Macaca mulatta: one gene and its partners. The protein of the gene in region 2 interacts with the protein of the main gene of each other region in a pairwise test. Links are inferred from orthologs where the notes say so. Each region holds a gene or a part of one and is shown on either strand. Other genes may lie near its edges.

Region 1 (4,309 bases), on a different chromosome or scaffold from region 2:
AAAAAATATAAAAATTAGCCAGGCATGGGCCAGGCGCAGTGGCTCATGCCTGTATTCCCAGCACTTTGGGAGGCCAAGGCAGGCGAATCACGAGGTCAGGAGATCGAGACCATCCTGGCTAATACGGTGAAACCCCGTCTCCACTAAAACTACAAAAAATTGGCCGGGCGCGGTGGCTCAAGCCTGTAATCCCAGCACTTTGGGAGGCTGAGACGGGCGGATCGCGAGGTCAGGAGATCGAGACCATCTTGGCTAACACGGTGAAACCCCGTCTCCCAGCTACTTGGGAGGCTGAGGCAGGAGAATGGCATAAACCCGGGAGGCGGAGCGTGCAGTGAGCTGAGAACCGGCCACTGCACTCCAGCCTGGGCGACAGAGCGAGACTCCGTCTCAAAAAAAAAAAAAAAAAAAAAAAAAAAAAAATTAGCCGGGCGTGGTGGTGGGCGCCTGTAGTCCCAGCTACTCAGGAGGCTGAGGCAGGAGAATGGTGTGAACCCAGGAGGCGGGGCTTGCAGTGAGCGGAGATTGTGCCACTGCACTCCAGCCTGGGCGACACAGCAAGACTCCATCTCAAAAGAAAAAAAAAAAAATTAGCCGGGCATGGTGGTGCACACCTGTAGTCCCAGCTACTTGTAGGGCTGAGGCAGGAGGACTGCTTGAGCCAGGGAAGCTGAGGCTGCAGTGAGCTGAGATCATGCCACTGCACTCCAGCCTGGGTGACAGAGTGAGACCCTGTCTCAAAACAAAAATTTAAATGTAAATTTTAAAATGTATGTTGGATCTACCTTTGGGAGTATTCTGGTTTTATATATATATATATATATATCAGCATGTATATAATATTCATTCAACATGTATCCATCTATCCATCTTCATGTTTATATTATATATTAAATATAATATTATATATGATATATATAATATTGAATACAAGTTGAATGAATATTTTGCAAATAGATATTAAAATCAGATTTAGCTTCAACAAGAAAATTTCAGCCTTGAACTAGAATTTTCTGATCTAACCTGTATTACAGCTCCTTCACAAAAGGAAACTGGAACAAAAAGTACTACACTTTCTAACCAGTGGTCATATTATTTTTTTTTAGTTCTGGATTTTAAGAGGTCACATACCCTTCCTTTCACTTCCAGAGTCTCAACTGCTTTTGATCAGAAACTTCTCAAATTCTACAATATACATTTAGATTTAAAAGCAAAGTGAGCCTGGGCAACATAGTGAGACCCCATCCCTACAAAAAATTTAAAAATTAGCCTGGCATGGTAGATGCATCCTTGTAGTCCTCGCGACTCAGCAAGCTGATCAGGAATTCAAGGTTATAGCCAGCTAGGATCGCTCTACTTCACTCAGATCACTGCACTCTGCCTGGGTGACAGAGCTAGACTCCATCTCTTAAAAACAAATTTAAAATATTTAATTTTTTTAAATTAAAAAAATTAGGCTGGGCACAGTGGCTCACGCCTGTAATCCCAGCACTTTGGGAGGCTGAGGTGGGAGAAGTGCTTGTGCCCAGGGGTTTGAGACCAGCCTGGCCAACACAGCAAGACTTCATCTCTACAAAAAAGAAAAATTTTTTAAAGTTTAAAAACTAAAGCAAAGTGATATTATTTAAAATACAGAATTGTAATTCAGGACTAACTAGTTCTACCTATTAACAGAGTACACCAAGCTCACAAAACACAATAATAAACAATAAGGATGATGACCACCATTCTTTCCAAGTAAAGCTGTTGCTGATCTCCTGTTTATAAGGCTCCAAGATGATTTTCAAGCCCAAGAAACACCCTGTATTTGACTCATTCAGCTACAGTTTCACTCAGACCCTAATGGGGAGGAGGGAGTTTTAAGACAAGCAATACCATTCTGAATTCCACCAACAACTCTACCATGCATTACTTGCTCTGTGGTTGTGGCTAAGTCTCTTAGCTTCCCTGTGTACCAGATTTGTTCAAGAGCAGCTAAGTAGGGAAGGAAAACAAAAGCCTCATCTGCCTGAAATCCAAAAATACACCCCAATGCTTTGTTACAAAAGACAAAATAATGTAAGTTGAAATGTTGCTGGTGAATTATCTTTATTAAAACAGAAGTCATCCCACCTCTCAAATACCAGTCATTGTGTCTGATTTCCGAATTCATTACAGGAAGAACTGTGTATGAAGTCATCCAAACACATGCACTCTCCACTTCCCTTAATTGAAAGTTGCTGATTTCCGAGGAGCCAGGGGCTGAGCAGAATGTAAACCTAAAGCCTAAATCAGTAAACAACCCCATCCAAACTGGCCTAAGAGGAAAGCGAGGTGGGTGGGGAGGAAGGTGGATGACAGGAGAAACTCGGCTGACCACTGCGCCAAGTCAACGCACTCACAGCTCTCGAGATGACACACACTCCCCTTCCCACCCTCGGGCTGTTTTGGTCCCAGAACCGTGGGGGCAGAACTCCAGAGAAGCAGCTCAAGCTTCAGCTGGGGCCGGGGACCCTCGGGCAGCCCGGGCCTGACAGACTGGGGGAGGCAAGCCCACCGCCCCCAGGGTGGACAGCCCGAGACAGCCCCAGGTGTGGCCTCGGCCGTAGTCCCAGCCGGGCTCCGCGACCCGACAGTCTCACCCAGGCCTGTCCCGGGGACAGCTCCCGCCCCCCAGCTCGGTACCCCGGCTCACTGGCTTGGCTGATCCGCTGGATGTTGCCGCTGCACGTCTGGATGATGCTGCTGAAGTCCCGGAGCTGGGGCCCTGAGGGCCCCAGGTTCCGGTACATATCTAAGGGACCGTATGACATGATGAGGAGCTGAGACCTGCTCGCCCTACACCACTCTCCTACCGGAAGCAGCCGCCAGCCGGGACCCGCAGGCTGACGGAGAAACTGGGAAGAGCAAGGGCGGGGAAGAAGCTAAGGCTGCGTGCGCACTAGTCCCGCCCCCACGCAGCGCGCACGCGTCCTCCCCGCCCCTGTTCAAAGTGCGCAGGCGCCGCTGGGACTGGGGCTGGGACTGTATCTTAGAGACAGGACTGCCTGGGGCTTGGGGGTTGCGGGGCGGAGAGATGACGTCACCTAGTTGGGGCTGAGATTGGATGAGCTTGGGTGGAGGTGTTGTTTCTCGCCAGGGCACATTGACAAGAGGCAAGAATTTTCGATTTGCATAAAACTGTACCAGATGATCTCAGCCCTTACATCCTATTCTGTTTTGAGAATTCAGGCCCAAATATGGGAGTATTCAACGTTGAAACTCAGACCAGGAACCAAATCGTAACCCGAAATTCCTCTCTACTTCCGTCCCCAGGGTTTTGGTAGTATTTGGGGTTTCCAAACCGCTTTCATTTCTCCCTCCACCCCTCTTCTAATCTAAACAATAAAATAATAATGTTTATTAAGCACATACTATGTGTGAATCCTCACCGCAATTCACTTGTTCATAAGATTTTTCACAGCAAGGGACGATGCTCTGTCTACATTTTTATCATTAGAATAGATAGCGGAGAGTCGGTTTTTTAAATATTGAAGTAAAGTAACTCATCAATGTTAGCATTATTATTTTCCCTATTACCGATGAGAAAATTAAGACCAGCGAGGTTACTTCGCCTTGCTGAAGTTTGACTGCAAAAGCCAAACGCTAAGCTGACTCTCTCCTCACCTTGCTACTTCTCTAAAATTCATTCTCATCGAAATCTCTCCCAAATAGCTCGTTCATCTATATCCCAAACCGGGATTTCTTGGAGAACTAGATTCCTAAAATTTAAAAATCATACCCTTAAATACTTTGGAATGCATGACCTCAATTTTCCTACAGAAGACTGCATTTCTGTAAGCGTATGTTAAAAGGAAAGACATAGGATTTTGGTTTGGGAGGAGATCAAGATGGTGAGAAGTGAAGGGGAACTGGCTGTTTCCTGTGTTCTCCACCCCACCCCAGCCTGCTTTGCAGTCTTTGGAAAATGCAAAGACGGAAAGCTGCTTGCCTGGGTGAAAGGAGACCCCAAGTGAATGAGCCTGTATATGGCCTTAGGGTTTTTTCTTTATTTTATTTTATTTTTTTTGAGACAGGGTTTCGCTCTGTCACACAGGTTGGAGTGCAGTGGCATGATCTCCGCTCACTGCAACCTCCTTCTCCTGGGCTCAAGAGATCCTCCTACCTCAGCCTCCAAGTAGTTGGGACTACAGGCGTGCGCCACCACGCCCAGCTAATTTTTCTATTTTTTGTAGTGATGGGGTTTGGCCATGTTGTCCAGGCTGGTCTCGAACTCCTGGGCTCAAGTGATCACCACCAGCCTTAGGATTTTTTAAGGGTGGCTATCTCT
Region 2 (3,510 bases):
ATGTACTTCTCTCTTCTAGGAGGGACCCCGAAGCCAGAGCCACAGCCAGAGCAGGTCATAAAAAACTACACGGAAGAGCTGCAAGTGCCCCCAGATGAGGTTTGTGTCTTGGGAGCTGGGCTGCCTTTGTTTCTGTTTGCAGACAACTCCAGATAGAAAGGACATCTGCCCCTTCTCGCTTGAAGGGTGCTTCCCAGGTGCCTCTGAGTGCCAGGACCTTGCTCCAGCCCCTTTGGTTTCATCTCCCAGCCTCCTGAGACCCATATCGTTATGATCTGAGCTTTGCACTTAAGGAGCTGTGGTCCTGAGCAAAGTCCCTCCTCTCCCGGCCCTGGCCTCTCTGTAGCCTGATGGCCGTCCTGGGAGCAGGAATCCCGGAGACAAGGGATGGGCCAGCCTGCCCCACTCTCCGCCGTGCGGATGCTGGTGTAGAAGTGAGGTGGCCTCGTCCAGGTGGCTGCCCTGCCCCTCCAGCTGTTGGGAGAGCTGGTTAAGGTTCCTATAATTTTTTTATTCTTAAAGACAGGGGCACGCACTGTCGCCCAGGCTCAGTGCAGTGGTGTGATCACAGCTCACTGCAGCCCTGTCCTCCTGGCCTCCTGTAATGAATGGGACCAGTCAGACTCCTGTTGCTCTTCCATAGAACCTGAACCTCTGCTGAGCCACGTTTTGGGGGCTGCGGCACCCCTTTCCCCCGATTTTAGTGGGGAACCCTGGAGATACTGTTGGGGGGGTAGGGTGAATGGCTAGGAGTACCAGTACCCAGGCACTCTTCAGATACTGGGGGGCGGGTGAATGGCCAGGAGTACCAGTACCCAGAGACCTTCAGATACTGGGGAACGGGTGAAAGGCCAGGAGCCCCAGTACCCAGGGACTCTTCACTTATGTCTCTCTCCAGTCAGTTGAGTCCACGAAAAAAATCTGGTAAGTAAAGCTTTGGACAGGAGCCTCAAAGTCCTCCTCATGCGTCCCACCCCTTCAACAAGCCCTTGCCGCATTCCCTCCTGCCCAGTGCTTAGCTCTGTCTCCGCTCTGGTGCCCATCTGGTATGACTGGGCCGTTTCACCCCAGGCTCCTCCTCTCCAAGCTGCCGTCTGCACAGCCAGCACGTAGCTCAGATCATGGGAGCACTCCCTGCCTGGAACCCCCAGCAGGATCCCCAACTCGCACACAGCCCCAGCCCCTGAGTGTGGCAGCCAGAACCCCGAGGGCCCGCCTCTCCCTGATCCTGTCTCATCTCCTGCTCCCCGCTCCCCCCCTGCCAGCTTTAGTGCCCATGTGCTGGCTCCTCGTTCAAAACATCCTCCTCCCTCTTCCCAGGTGCCCGCTCCGTGCTTGTCCATCTGGCAATTCCTGTCTCCCTTGTACGACCCCACTCCGAGGGCCTCCCCCAGGATCCTGCCCTGTCCATCCTCCCCATTTGGTGGCTCCTGCTGTCATGTCAGGCCTGTGCTGCTGTTAAGCTCTTTAAGGGCACAGGTCCCAGTGACTCACCTGTCTTTCCAGCCTGTGGAATGGACGATTTTTTTTTTTTCCTGAGATGGAGTCTTACTCTGTCGCCCAGGCTGGAGTGCAGTGGCACAGTCTCAGCTCTGCAACCTCTGCCCCCTGAGTTCAAGCAATTTTCTTGCCTCAGCCTCCCGAGTAGCTGGGATTATAGGCGCCCACCAACACGCCTGGCTAATTTTTGTATTCTTAGTAGACATGGAGTTTTCCCATGTTGGCCAGGCTGGCCTCACATTCCTGACCTCAGGTGATCGGCCTCCCAGAGTGCTGGAATTACAGGGCTGAGCCACTGAGCCACTGAGCCTGGTCTTGGAATTGACTTTGACCACACTTCCAGCATTTCAGCACGTGAAAGCCTCTTTTTCCAAGACTGGCCCTCGTCAGCCCAGCCCACTGTTGGCGAGCATGACCTGTGTTTGGTCTCCTCCAGGACTGCATCATCTGCATGGAGAAGCTGTCCGCAGCATCTGGGTACAGCGACGTGACTGACAGCAAGGCCATCGGGCCCCTGGCTGTGGGCCGCCTCACCAAGTGCAGTCACGCCTTCCACCTGCTGTGCCTGCTGGCCATGTACTGCAATGGCAACAAGGTGCCCCCACTGGCCCGGGGTGGAGGCGGGTGGCCTGCCCCCACAGTCCTGAGCTGTCCACACCTGCAGAGGCGGGAGGGTTCTGGGGGTGGCTGCGGGGACGGGCCTCTGCAAAAGATGGTGCCGGGCGTGGGGCCAGCTTGAAGACCTTTCTAAAGGCCTGGCCGGCTCTCCCAGGCCTGCCCTACTCTCCTAGGCCTGCCCCACGCTTTAGAAAGGGGGACCAATGGGGCTGGTTCCCTCCACCCCTCCAACCAGGCCTGAGGAGATTGTGGGCTTCTCCAAGCCTCAGGGCACCGCCTCCCCCTCGGCCACTTGTCAGCGCTGCACACGCTGTCTCCCTTCTTCCTTACAGCGACCCTGTGTGGTCAGCACAGTGCCCATGAGGGAGAGGCGCAGAGCAGGGTTGCCCTACTGGGTGGTGGGAGCCAGGCCACGAGGCAGGGCTGACCCTGGGTCCCACGGCAGCCTACACGTGAAGAGCCACGCCCAAGCCGATCCCTGGCTGCTGTCTCTGCAGCGGCCTTCAGGCAGGATGGGCAGAGTTTGGAGGCTTAGAGAACCAAGTCATGTGGCGCGTCAGAGCCTGGCTTGGCCTTCCCTAGTGTCTGCCGTCCTGGGCAGCCAGGGCCCAGCTCCACAGATCAGGCGCTGCAAGGCTGTCTGTCAGACTTCAAATGCGCTTCACCCGTGGAGACTTCTGCTCAGGATCCGAGTTTTCCCACTCACCACCTGTCTCCTGATAGCATGCTCCTTTAACGAAAACGGCATAATGAGTTGCTGGTGCAAAACAAAGCTTTCCAGGGAAGCTGTTGGAAGCCAGTTTCCGGGCGGGAGGCTGCCAGCAACTCCCTGGGATGGCGGCTGGCCCGTTCCCGGGGCCCTTTACCATCTGACGGTGGAGGTGACGGTCTTGGGTGCTCTCAGCCAGCCAGCTCAGTGGGTCGCATCTGCCTCTCTCAGGATGGAAGTCTGCAGTGTCCCTCCTGCAAAACCATCTATGGAGAGAAGACGGGGACCCAGCCCCAGGGAAAGATGGAGGTATTACGGTTCCAGATGTCGCTCCCTGGCCACGAGGACTGCGGGACCATCCTCATAGTTTACAACATTCCCCATGGCATCCAGGTGAGGGGCCTTCCTGGAGTCCCCACTCCCGGCCAGTCCTCTTCCCCCCCCCACCCACGTCCCAGCAGTCTGCCCCTGGATCAAGGCTGAGGATGCCCATGTGGCCAAGCTCAGGCCCCCAGGTCCCCTAAGGCCAGGGCCATGGAGGGCCAGGAATGGAGAGGCAGTGCCGGGACTTGGGGCAAGCTCTTAGGGCTGTGGCAGCAGAGAGCTGGCCCTCCACTCTTTCCCAAACCAGGGAAGCCTTCCTGGAGGAGGAGCCATCTTAGCTAGACTTGTTCTGGACAGAA
Region 3 (4,059 bases), on a different chromosome or scaffold from region 2:
TCTACCCCCCAAACTAGAAGCCCTTGGAGAACAGAGCTCCTGTGTCTTTCTTTCCGTGGTAGGCCCAACACCTGGCTTTGTGCCTGGCACACAGCAGACATTCAACATTTGTAGAACTGATATACTATTAGATTAGTAGTGACAAACACTCCCCAAAGAGAATGCTTATTTGAACACACATCCCAAACACTGCTTCTCTACCCTCCAGAAAATGCTTCTTTGGAAGGATTTAGGGCAGTTTGATGTTTCTGCAAACATATCTGCGTTTAGGGGCCATCTTGCCCTTCTCAGCGTTCACCTGGGATATCTTTATTCTTCCATTTAACCTTTACAGGGGACCACGATGGTGACGTGTCCTTCCTAGGGGCCATTACCTCTCACAGGGATCCTAGTGTCTGGTAGAAAACAACCCCTCCAAGTTCTCTGCATCCGAACTTCACCAGAATACGCGGATAAACCTATTTAAAAAATCTTTTTAAATTCTCAACTTGGCGGTGGAAATAAGGCTCTTGCAACGTCCTCAAGTAATAACCAATGGCAGCTATCATGGCAAGAAGGAGATAGAGCTGAGCGCCTTACTCAAAGCCAAGACATTCACAATTTTTTGGGCCCGGCTCCCTGTGCCTGGGCATGTGCACTGTGCACTCCGAAGCTGTGTACGGCGGTGGCCTTGGAGGTGCCCGTGGCCTTAGGAATTCCCGGGGTCGGGCACCCTCCGCTTCGCACCGCGCCGTGTCCCCGGCCTGGCAGTCGAGCGGCGCGGCTCTGGCATGCTAAGTGGGCAGCACTGGGGCGCCTTTGTTTCTCGCGGCCGTCTCCCAGGACCAGCTTCCTTCTGAATCTAAATGGGCTTCTCCCCCACCCGCTCCGCCCTGGCCCCCTGGCCTGGGCACGGCGCCCCTCGGTGATACGCGCCCGGACACCTGGGGAGTGGGCGTGCGGGGGCAGCCCGGGCTAGGCGAGCGCGGGAGGAGCGCCTGCGATCCCAGCCCGGCCAGGCCCGAGCACCTGCGCGAGCCGGAGGGAGCGCCCGGCCCTCTGTCCCCTCCAGTCGCCAGCGCCCAACTTGGGGGTCCCGCCGCCAGCAGCCCCAAGTCTCGCGGTGCTACCGCTCTGACCCGGGAGCCGCGGGCCGGGCGCCCCCCGCCGCGCGACAAAGGCTGAACCGGGAGGAGGAGGCCGAGGAGGGGGAGGAGGAGGAGAGAAAGGCGGGGACGGTGAGCGGCCGCGGCGGCGGGGAGAGCGCAGGGAGCGCCGCCCGCCCGCGCCGTCCTTTGTGTGGCGGCGGCAGCGCCTGGGCCTGACCGGGTCCCCGGGGCTAAGTGCCCGGCTCCGCGCCGCCCCTCCCGCGCCCCTGCCAGGCGCGCGCCTATCCTCTCCGAGCAAGATGGCAACCCCGGCAGCGGTCAACCCTCCGGGTGAGTAGCGGCCTGGGCCCCGCCGCCCGCCGCAGCCCGCAGGCCTTGCCCGGGGCCGGAGCGGGCCGGAGCGGATCAGGCGCGCCGGGCGCCCCCGGGGGCGCGGAGCAGCAGCTCGGCGCGGTGGGTGGTGGAGCGGCTGTCACTGCGCGGCAGCTGCAGCATCAGCACCAGAGCGGCATCTGCATCCTTATCGCTGCCCATCCGGTCCCGGGCAGGCGCCGGTCCGGACCCGCGGGCGGCCGGACGCTGGCCTTGCGTCCTCCGGAACCCGAAGGGCCGGCCCGGGAGCCCCCGAAGTTCTGAAAATAACCGCCTTTGCCTTCCCCATCCCACGCATTTTTCTCTTCCGGTCCCGGCTTTTGTAGCATCACGGCGTCAGCCAGTCCTGGCTGGTGGAGGGCTCCGCGCTGATGGAGGGAAAAGTTTGGAGCTGGGATTCAACAGGGTACAACTCTTGGGACTCTCCCTTGCCCGCCCCGCCCCCCAAGCGCTGGTCCTTTGCGCCCTTTGCGACTGGCTGCTGTGTGTCCTAACTCTCTGGGACCCAGAACACCCAGCCTGTGGTCACCAGCGTGAAGTAGCCCCTGTCCTGCCCAGGTGACATCCCCTGCTTTCTGGGCTGACCTGTCAGCAGGGTGCAGTCTGTGACAACTGAGCTCATTAGGAAAGATTTCAAAAATGGAAGAGTTCTTGATGGAGTGGCAACATTTACCTGTTTGGGTATTATAGTAGGGAAGTCCCGTTTTCGTTGGGAAAGTTCCCTACCTGATGAGTGTGGGAGAAGAGAAAGGTGAACATCTAAGCTGGTACAAACTTTTGGGTGTTGTGCAGAGGCTGCTGTGGGCACGGCAGGTTGCTAGGTCCCTGTGGAAGATGCAGGGAGAGTCACAGAGGGCGGCCCCCAGGAAATTCCCAAGAGAACGGAGGTCATGTGTTGGAGATAGGGAGGGTCGGAGGAGGAACATTGATGCTTAGCAAAGTAAAGTGTCTGTCATCATAGAATTAGGCATGAAAGATCCCTTTCATCTAAGGAGGCCAGGGAAGCCTTCTGGACGTTTCGGTTGCACGTTGAAAACGGGAATGTTTGAATATACAGAGCCAGTAGCAGAGGGGCATTGCAGGCGTAAATGACAGTGGACTTGTTCTAAGCATGTGCAGAGGTCAGTGAGTGGTTGGTGCACTGGAGATCTAAGAGGCAGCAGTGGGATTTAACACTGAGTTGTTTGGATGTGACCAGGCTTTAAAGGACAGACTGAGGAGTATGGACTTTCTCTCTCCACATTAAGGGAGAGTCCTCTGCACACTTCCTAAGATCCAGAAAAATAAAATAGAAGAGAGAGAGAGAGAGAGAGAGAGAGAGAGAGAGAGACCACAATGGTATTGAACAAGGAAATCGCATGATCACTTTTTCTGGAAGATAAATTTGTCAGCCATGTCTAGGAAACATAGAAAGGAGGGAACAAGACTTGAGACGGAGCCCAGCATGACATGAGGCAGGTGCTGGGGAGGCCAGAATTGGTGGCCATGGCTGGACCAGAGAGGAAGGAATGCACCACTGGGCAGGTAGAGGAGTTCCATATTTGGAACTGATTAGATTTGGAATAAGAGTAAAGGAGGAGGCCAAGGAGAGACAAAGGGGAGGTGTCCATGGAGACACCAAGGTGAAGAGCCTGTGTAATTCCAAGGAAGGCAGTTCCATCAGCAGAAATAGGGACTATGGGAAGAACAGACAAGGAGGCCTCTGTCCAGAACACTGAGAAGGAACATGGCTGGTCTGAAACACATCTGTGCCAGTTTGCCTGCGACTGAAGCTGCAATTTCAACCCATTCAACTACTTCAAAATCAATAGAAAATTGATAGATGTAAATGTTATGAAATCAGAAAAAGCAAAAGAAGTTAAATGAAGATATTTTAGTCCAATATAGGTTTACATTGGGAACAGGAATAAAATCCCTGGTGATTTACATAATTTCTACGTAATCAAATTAATTATTCTAGAATAATTTACATAATTTCTATGACATCGTTATTTAAAACTGTTTTGTCCATTACATTGCTCCATGAGCTACATGGACTAAAGATGGAGTAGTTGCCCCTGGCCCAGTGGTGTGGAGCACAGGAAAGCCTGTGTTTGTGCCTTGGACTGTGGAGGCTTGAATGATACAAGCACAGGGTATTGTTTGTGTTGTTAGTCAACACCTGGCCAGCTTGACAGCTGCTTTTCTCTGTTGACAGCTATACCGGAGATCTTCAGCATGGTGATAATTTCTCAAGTGAAAATTCCTTGAGGTGATCGCCTTTCGTTTTACCATCATTTCTTTTACCGGTCCCCTGAGGATGATCCATGGGGATGTGTTATTCTTGCCCCATGTGAATCTCCATCTTCTTCTTTGGGAGAAAGGGTTTAATTTCAAGGGAGATGGCTCAGGGTTTGAGCCAAAGAGAGAGAGTTCAGATTCTATGGACAATTTACAACAAAAAGAGCCGTGGTACCCGAGCTTGTCACCCAGAGCCTACCTCCCATGGGCTTGTGACACTTCTTTGAATTCCTTTTTCTGCCTCCCTCCTTTCCCCAGATATGGTTGCTTTGCAAAGAATAAGAGCTTGGTAAACAGAATCAAATGGACTAGGAAGCAC
Region 4 (4,174 bases), on a different chromosome or scaffold from region 2:
ACTAAAGCCCAACAAACGGGGAGAACACAGCTGTGAGCTCCACACACAAGGGCCTGCACCAGGGAGCTGACGTCAGCGCAGGAGGCAGACCGGAGGCCAACGAACCCACCGCCACCTCCAACAGCCCACCCCTAATAAGGGCTTCTACAGAGGAAAAGTCCCCAGGCCAACTCTCTCCCTGCCCAAAACTGTTCCACGTCTCCGAAGGCCTTTAAAAATAGCCCAGCCTAGCACCACAAGGGCCAGTTCCTAACAAAGCTTTGTTGACTCAACTTCTCTCAAAGTTGACAGATCTGCCCAGAGGAGGGGGCCGGACAGAATGATCACCCCAGGCCCTTCTCATTTAGAATCCACCATCATGGGCTTCTAACAAAAGCCAGAAAAAGACACATCCAGAAGAGCTTTTTTTTTTTTTTTTTTGGAGATGGAGGTTCCCTCTTGGAGCAATCTCGCCTCACCACAACCTCCGCCTCCCGGGTTCAAGTGATTCTCCTGCCTCAGCCTCCCGAGTAGCTGGGATTACAGGCATGCGCCACCATGCCCAGCTAATTGTGTATTTTTAGTAGAGTCAGGGGTTTCCCCTTGTTGTTCAGGCTGGTCCACCCGCCTCAGCCTCCCAAAGTGCTGGGATTACAGGCGTGAGCCACTGTGCCTGGCCCAGAAGAGCTCTTGGCATGAGCTCTGAGGTCTCTCACTAGCCTTGGAGCAGGACAGACCGGAATTTGAGTCCTGGCACTGTCTGGTCACTAGCTGTGGGATCATGGGAATGCCACTTTGCCCCTCTGAGCCTTAGTTTCCCCATCTGTAAATAGAGATCGCAGCAGCACCCAGCCTGGTAGAGCAGTTGTGGCGGAGTCGAGGTGCTAACGATGCCAAGAGCTTGGCAAGTGACATGCTCCATGAGCAGGAAACCTGGCTTCACTCCCCTGTCCCACCACGATGGAGGCATCCCATGCAGCCCATGCCCACCACTCCCGATGACGCCCACTGTGTCCTCACTCTCCCCCGGCACAGGGACCCAGGAAGTCCACCTGCTGGCAGCTGTGGGCCACATCTGGACTTAGCTTGAAGGAGGCCCCAGCGAATATCACAAAACAGCAGCCAGACTGGAATGGGCCACCCACCTGCCCACCTTGGAGAGAGGGTGACAGCAGCCCCTGTGCCCAGGGGCTTCACCCCTTCCAGGTAGCAGCTCCTGGGATGTGAGCTCCATGCTGCAGCATTCCACAGGAGAAGGGCCAGCACCTCGCAGCAGACTAGCACCCGTTCTGGAAAGCCCCCTTTGTTCCAAGCACGAGGGGTGAGGGGCATGGAGCTGAAGCGTGGGCTTGGACAGACCTGCAAACGTGCCCAGAAGACCGATGGAGTTGGGGGGAAGCGGGGAGCAGAGGTTGTGCAATGCACCACCAGGAGCTGCCTCCCCAGCCTCCATCAACACATGGGGCTGGCGGTCAAGCTGCTGCCTCCAGGGGTGGTGCAGAGGGCCTGGGCCCACGCAGCTGCCCGGGGATGGGTTCTGAATTCCAACCCAAGCCCAGAGCCACTGTCCCCTTCCAAGTCAAACACCCAGGCAGAGGTCCTTCCAGGCCCCGATGCGGAAGCCTTCCCTCTCAGCATCCCCTGGGTGGTCTGGACCCATTGCCATTAACCCCTGGTATGCCAGGGCACCTCCGGAGATGCTGCAGGGAAGGGGGAAGCCTGATATGGAGAAATTGGGGCTGCAAGGGGACTGCAGAGTTGTGAAGTTGGGCAAGTGGAGGGAGACACACTGAGACTGATCTGGAGACGTCCAGAAAGGACAGGCCCTCCTCCTCCGGGCAGCCCGCGACAGCTAATGATCACACACGGCCCAGATCGCCCGGGCTGTAGAAACCCATTTCCCGGTCTGGCAGACAGAGATGGAGCCAGGGAGAATCCAGCCTGTAAGTGCTGCAACCCACAGGGTGCCGGGGACCCTTCGCCGCCGTCACCGCTCGACAGGCGCTGTGCCAAGTCTCGCCACCCCCCACACACGAACGGGGCCAGGGAGGGGGCGACAGGCCAATCTCGCAGCAGCAGCGGCGGCGGCATCGTGATGCATGAATCACCAGCCCCGCGCACTAGTGCCAGTCGGCTCCGCGCAGCCGGGCGCCCCCTCCCGGGACCACCGCCCCGCCCTCACAACAGCCCCTGCCTGTTGGGACAGCTCTGCGGAGAGGGGGCCGCCAGGAGGCTGGGGTTGCCCCTCCGGACCTGGGGGTGGCGCCGCGCACGCCGACCGGCGCGCACTCCCCGGGCTGGGGGTGCCAGAACAATGGGGCCGGGCGGGGGGCAGGGGCGCGGCCCGGGAGCCTCCGAGAGGCCCACGGCGGAGGCCGGGCTGGGAGGACCGAGCGGAGGCGGCGGCGCGGAGCGGGTAGCGCGCGGGTCCGGGGGGCGGGGGCGGCGGGCGTGGGGGTGACCGGGAGGCGCGGGGCACGGGCCAGGGACCCGGAGCACTCACAGTAGGTCTTCCTGGTCAGCTCCTCCACAACTTCGGGCTTCAACTTGCTGTTGGATTTCCCCATCCTCGGCGGCCGCGGCCCCCGCCCCCCCGGGCCGGACCCGGTTGGGGCGCCCAGCGGGAGCGGCTGGGCCGGGCGGGCCGGGCCGGGGCCGCGCCTTTGTCTGCGGCGCCCGCGCTGCGCTGCGCGGCTGTCGGCGCCGGGGCGCTCGGGGCGTGGGGCGGCCGCTGGGCAGGCCCGGGCGGTCCGGGCGCCGCGGCGCGGGGCTGCCTGGGCTGGGCGCCGGCGCCGGCGCGGTGTGGCCGCGGTCGTCCCTGGTTACTGGGCTCCGCGGCACATGCTCGCTGCTGCCTCCCGCCAGCCGCCGCCCCTGCGCTCCCCGCCTCCCGCCTCCCGCCTCCCGCCCGCACCCGCGCGCCAGGGGTGGACCCGGAGCCGCCACTCAGCGCCCGGCGCCACCTCCCGCCCCGCACCCACCTGGCCGCGGCCTCCGCCAGCGGGACCCCGGCCCCGCCAGCCCGCCGGAGGGGCGTCCCCTCAGCTCAACGCGGCCCCAGGGAGGGGCAGCCACCCCCTCCCCGAATCCAGCCCTGGCGCTCCGGCCCCCGCCGCGGCGGGAGGGCCCGGAAGATTGGATGTGGATGAGGCCAAGTCCCGGCCCGGAGACATTCATTCATTCCACACGGATTCATGGGGTGCCGAGGACACGGCGGCCCACGGGACAGGAGCGCCTCAGCTCTCGCAGGGCGGGCAGGGCTGTGCAGGGTGCCGCAGGTAGCGGTGGGGGCACCTACTCTCGGCCTGGGGCAGGTGACCTCCAAGCCCAGGGTCAGGAAGGGAGGGGGGATGGAGAAGCGTTCTGGCCCAGGCAACCTGGAGAGGCGGGGAGGCCTGCACGCCCGAGGGACAGCTCCCCGGCTTATGGGCTTGCGCACCAATGCGGGCACAGGGGGCCTGGGAGAAGGGCAGGGCCCACGGGGCAGGCCCGGAAAGGCCCCTCGCCGAGGAGCTGGGCCCCTGCCCACCAGCGCCCATGAAGGGACTTCAGCAGAGTGATGGGTCAGAGCTGCTGGAGTGACAGGTCAGAGCTGCTCGGAGCTGTTTCTCTGAGCCAAGGCTGGAGTGACAGGCTCCACCTGAATGGACAGAGGCCCGTGGGTTAGCGTTGGGGGGTGGTCCAGAGGGTAAGTCCAGCACGGCCTTCCCGGGCCACCTCATCCAACGTATCACCACCTCTTGAGACCTCTCCCATCCTCCTTTCCAGCTTTAGTTTCTCTCCTTCGCATCCGTCACAAACGTCACCTATGTTTTCTGCCTCCTGTTTGTCTCTTCCATGGGAGAACACCCTCCCAGAGGGCAGAGGCGTCTCCATAACCTACAAGACCGCCTGAGGTGTGGTAGTTACCCAGCAAATCTCTGTGAGTGAGTGAAGGATGGAGGAAGGAATGACACGCGGTGCTGGGGCCCTGGGGTAGAGGAAAGAGCAGGGAGGATGAGGCAGCCCTCCCCCCGGGGCCAGCAGGGATGAGGCAGGAGTGGGGTCTCTTTTTCTTCTTTCTTTCCACAGTGTTCTAACCTCGGAGGGCCCGGAAAGCTCAGAGGAACCCTGAGCAGGGCCGAGTGCCTTCCAGCTCCCAAATCTCTCTCTTGCCTCTAAGCATACTCCATCCACTCCTGCTTTCTCCTGAAGC
Region 5 (4,037 bases), on a different chromosome or scaffold from region 2:
AGATGCTGGCCCAGTAGTTCCTCAGCGGCAGCTGCCATGCCCATCACAGCCTTGCCAAAGCCCACCAGGTAGACGTTTTGCCTCAGCTGAAAGCTCCGGTCCCGCACCTTCAGCTGTCTGCCACTAGGGTCCAAGGATAGTGCCCGGTGCAGCATGGGGCCCGGCAGCACTGCACCCACAGCACTCTCAAACAGCTGCCAGGCCTGCTCTGCCAAGGCCATGCTGCTGGCCAGCCGGGCCACTGAGCCCCGCCAGAGGAGTGGATGCAAGGGGGCTCGGGCCAAGCGGGGCAGGACCTGCAGGGCTGCAGCCATGCCCCACTGCTCTCAGCACTGCCTGGCACCCATGGCTGCCTAGAGGGAAAAAGCACAACTGAGGCCCTTGCAAGGCAAAAGACAGGAGGTCCCCCACGGCCAGTGGACCCCACAGCTGCTGCTACAAGAAGGAGCCATCTGATAGCCCCAGGAGACTTCCTGAAGCCCACAGCTGCAGGATCTCACTCATCCTTGGATACCAGCCCTGCCACCCAGCCATGTCCTCCTCTTCTGCAGACCACATGCCGGCCCTCTGGATACTCTGCCTTAAGTCCAAAGTTCCTATTAGCTGGGCCCTCCTCCTAGGTCAACCCTTTGGCTGTGAGTTAATCATTGACAGAGGGAGTAATTTCTACCAGTGGGCTCCCATCCCACCCCTTTTCCACCCCCTGCACTTCTGAGCTCTTACCCAGGGGCAACGCCCCTTTCTGGCACTCCTTCCTTGCCTCTTTACTACCTCTGCTGCCAGGAGTCTGTTGATTGTCCCACCAACTGACCCCGAGCCCACTGACCTCCAGCCTACTCTACTTTATCTCATAAGACTGGGATTAGGAGGCTGGGAAGTCAGGGTCTATAGGAGGCTGCAGGTTTATCAGGTCAAGCCCAGAGCATATCCTCAGGGCAAGCAATCTGAGGAATCCCAGTATTCAGGCCAGTTCAGCAAGAGGTTTAGTTTCAAATCAGGAGTGAGGGCAAAGTCTGGCTCATGGTGGAACCTTAGGAAAGTCCCCAGGCACCATGTGAGGCCATGTGCCATGAAGCCCAATTGCAGGACAGAAAAGGATGCCCTTCTACCCACATAGCTGGCCAGACCCAACCCTGCCAAGAACACCCCTTCTAGTTCCAAGATAACAAAAACAAGTCCTAGATCACACCACCCACAGTGGTGAGAGCCCAAGAGCTGAAGTAGGCAAAGGCCAGGCTCCCATAACTGAGCCCAGATAGCCATTTTCCCCACTGGGCAGAGTAAAAGCTAAAGAAGCCTTGGGGTGAAGGTCAGGAAGCTGTAGAGGGGTATAGGAACAACAAAGACCCAAAGAGCTCATCTGTACTACATATGTACTATTGCATCTACTTTAATAAATGCCTACCATAAATGCTGCAAGCTGACTTCATCAGCAAGTATGGACTGAGCGGGGTAAGGAGGCTGGGAATTGAGCTTCCAGCTGTATCTACTACAGGTTTTCTGAGTGGCTGGGACACATCCATTTCTCTCACTGGGCCTCATCCACAAAATGAGACACAAGGTGAGATTAACACTACACTCTCCCCTTAACACCCTCAGGCTCTCTGATACTGTCCACTGCAACACAGATCTCAAATACCGGTTTATCCCACACCCAAATGTGGTGGTTACTTCTAGACTCTGACCATTTTGTCTGCCTAGTCTCAGCTCTCCCGTAAGAGAAGACAGCCATGCTTGACTTCTGTTGTGAAACGGAACACAGAGGGCATCGTCATGGGGATTCCGAAAATGGGTCCAGTTATGGCCAGGGGGACCCCTGGAGCTTGCCCATTAGGCTTGGAGCTAAAAGCATCTTAGCAACTAAGACAGCCGGTCTTTATAGGGTGAAATCTGTATTTATTTCCCAGATGGACAAGAGCCTAGAAGATCCCAGTCTTGCCACTGGGTATGAGCAGAGGACAGGGGACGCTCAATGCCAAGGCTGCCAGAGAAAATACAGGACGTCCTGTTAAATTTGAATTTCAGAAAAACAAGTAATTTTTAAAGTATAAATATGTGCATACAATGTTTAGGACTTAACAATTATTCATCGTTTATCTTAACTCAAATTTAACTGGACACGGCCGGGCGCAGTGGCTCAGGCCTGTAATCCCAGCACTCTGGAAGGCTGAGGCGGGCGCATCACCTAAGGTGTGGAATTACAGACCAGCCTGACCAGCATGGTAAAACCCCGTCTCTACTAAAGATACAAAAATTAGCCAGGTGTGGTGGGCGCCTGTAATCCAGCTACTCAGGAGACTGAGGCACGCGAATCATTTGAACCGGGGAGGCGGAGGTTGCAGTGAGCCGAGATCGCGCCACTGCACTCCAGCCTGGGTGACAGAGTGAGACTCTGTCTCAAAAAAAAAAAATTAACTGGACTCTCTGCATTTTTATTTGCTAAGTCCTCCAATTCTATACAAGACATAGTCTCTCCAAAACTCCGGAGGGATCCAAAGCAAAACACGGAAACAGGAAGACTACCGGCCTTGACTCCTCCCCGCTATTAAAGGGGGCTGGCACCATTTCCGGTTTCCCGCAGTCAGCAGGGGGCTGGAAGTGACGTCATCCTCAGGTAGGGCCTTCGCGAGGCAAACCGCTGCCGCGTAATGCCAGGTGATACGAGAAAGAAGGGCCTGCTGCCACCAAGACCCTTCGTCGCCCAGCCCAGGGATTGCTTCTGAAGGTCATGCGCGCCCTGCAGGCGCAGACTTACCAGCCCACAGCTCCGGGCCACGGCGCCCAGCACTGGAGACCGGAAGTACTCGCGGGTGGGCGGAGCGGAATCCGGAAGTGTGGGTGGGTGGATCCGCGCTGGCGGCTGCGAGCTCTAGCTGAAGCTGGGGTCTGGAAGGGAGAGTTTAGGATATTGACTCCTTGCTGGCCACCAACAGACCTGGAAGGAGTCACCTTAAGTCCTCATTTTCTTAATCTCTACATTGAGGGTAATAATCCCCGCCTCACTGATTGCAGATTTTTTTTTCGAGACGGGGGTCTCACTCTGTCGCCCAGACTGGAGTGCAGAGGCGCGGTCTCGGCCCAGTGCAACCTCCGCCTCCCGGATTCAAGCGATTCTCATGCCTCAGCCTCCTGAATAGCTGGGATTACAGGCATGTGCCACCACGCCGGGCTAATTTTTGTATTTTTTAGTAGAGACCAGCTTTCGCCATGTTGGCCTCTCTGGTCTCGAACGCCTAACCTCAATCGATCCACCCACCTCAGCCTCCCAAAGTGATGGGATTACACACTTGAGCCGCCGCGCCTGGCCTCTCCCTTCCTTTATCTTGTACGATCAGTCAGCAGATACACCCTGAGGACTGGGCTGAGCAAACGAACTGAGAATCACTACTTACCCACAACTAACCCCTTCTGGAGCCAGATTAAGTAATTCTCGCTCCTCTCCATGGTTTTTATTCCACAACTTATTAGTGTTCTCCCCTCTCCCACCATGGGCCACCAAATACAGCTCTGACCTAGCGAGAGTTCCATTCCGCTATCCTCAAGCACATAAGCTGCATGTAAAAGCGAATGACTCAGGACCTTCCTCACTGTCCCTGCTCTCATGCTGGGCCCACCCTGAGCTGGCTGGATGCCTTCCCACATTCATAAGATGAGTCCTCATCAGACTCCAAGAACACGAAACAGTTCACTGTTTTTACTGATGTTTTCTTATGGAGATAGAGGAGAGAGTTGCATCACAAATCACATACTTGATTTCCTAACGATTTTATTGAAACATGTTTCTTGGCAGGGCCCAGTGTTTCACGCCTGTAATACCAACACTTGGGGGGGCCAAGGTGGGCGGATCGCTTGAGCCTAGAAATCCGAGACCAGCCTGAGAACATGGCAAAACTCTTATCTCTACAAAAAAAAAAAAAGAGCCGGGTGTGGTGGCATGCTCTTGTAGTCCCAGCTACTCGGGAGGCTGAGGTGGGAGGATCTCCTGAGCATGGGAGGTAGAGGCTACAGTGAACCTTGATCATGCCACTGCACTCCAG

What was found.
Region 1: the proteins of DTX2 (region 2) and STX12 interact in binary tests that used the Homo sapiens proteins (3 or more experiments, as listed by UniProt). The two-hybrid records come from large-scale screens. The link is inferred for Macaca mulatta from reciprocal best matches to the Homo sapiens genes DTX2 and STX12.
Region 3: the proteins of DTX2 (region 2) and ARNT2 interact in binary tests that used the Homo sapiens proteins (3 or more experiments, as listed by UniProt). The link is inferred for Macaca mulatta from reciprocal best matches to the Homo sapiens genes DTX2 and ARNT2.
Region 4: the proteins of DTX2 (region 2) and NCS1 interact in binary tests that used the Homo sapiens proteins (3 or more experiments, as listed by UniProt). The two-hybrid records come from large-scale screens. The link is inferred for Macaca mulatta from reciprocal best matches to the Homo sapiens genes DTX2 and NCS1.
Region 5: the proteins of DTX2 (region 2) and GLYCTK interact in binary tests that used the Homo sapiens proteins (3 or more experiments, as listed by UniProt). The two-hybrid records come from large-scale screens. The link is inferred for Macaca mulatta from reciprocal best matches to the Homo sapiens genes DTX2 and GLYCTK.

Annotation. Positions count from the first base shown.
Region 1 is NC_133406.1:213,166,978-213,171,286, forward strand, and holds the start of STX12 (syntaxin-12), read right to left. Parts: upstream 2,807-4,309; 5' UTR 2,793-2,806; coding exon 2,675-2,792; intron 1-2,674. UniProt on the Homo sapiens protein: SNARE promoting fusion of transport vesicles with target membranes. Together with SNARE STX6, promotes movement of vesicles from endosomes to the cell membrane, and may therefore function in the endocytic recycling pathway.
Region 2 is NC_133408.1:49,846,204-49,849,713, reverse strand, and holds part of DTX2 (putative E3 ubiquitin-protein ligase DTX2), read left to right. Parts: intron 1-19; coding exon 20-99; intron 100-1,936; coding exon 1,937-2,095; intron 2,096-3,058; coding exon 3,059-3,220; intron 3,221-3,510. UniProt on the Homo sapiens protein: Regulator of Notch signaling, a signaling pathway involved in cell-cell communications that regulates a broad spectrum of cell-fate determinations.
Region 3 is NC_133412.1:58,638,384-58,642,442, forward strand, and holds the start of ARNT2 (aryl hydrocarbon receptor nuclear translocator 2), read left to right. Parts: upstream 1-1,253; 5' UTR 1,254-1,387; coding exon 1,388-1,418; intron 1,419-4,059. UniProt on the Homo sapiens protein: Transcription factor that plays a role in the development of the hypothalamo-pituitary axis, postnatal brain growth, and visual and renal function. Specifically recognizes the xenobiotic response element (XRE).
Region 4 is NC_133420.1:17,428,490-17,432,663, forward strand, and holds the start of NCS1 (neuronal calcium sensor 1), read right to left. Parts: upstream 2,807-4,174; 5' UTR 2,547-2,806; coding exon 2,483-2,546; intron 1-2,482. UniProt on the Homo sapiens protein: Neuronal calcium sensor, regulator of G protein-coupled receptor phosphorylation in a calcium dependent manner. Directly regulates GRK1 (RHOK), but not GRK2 to GRK5. Can substitute for calmodulin. Stimulates PI4KB kinase activity.
Region 5 is NC_133407.1:115,825,108-115,829,144, reverse strand, and holds the start of GLYCTK (glycerate kinase), read right to left. Parts: upstream 2,807-4,037; 5' UTR 2,524-2,806; intron 1,414-2,523; exon of another isoform or gene 350-1,413; 5' UTR 315-349; coding exon 1-314.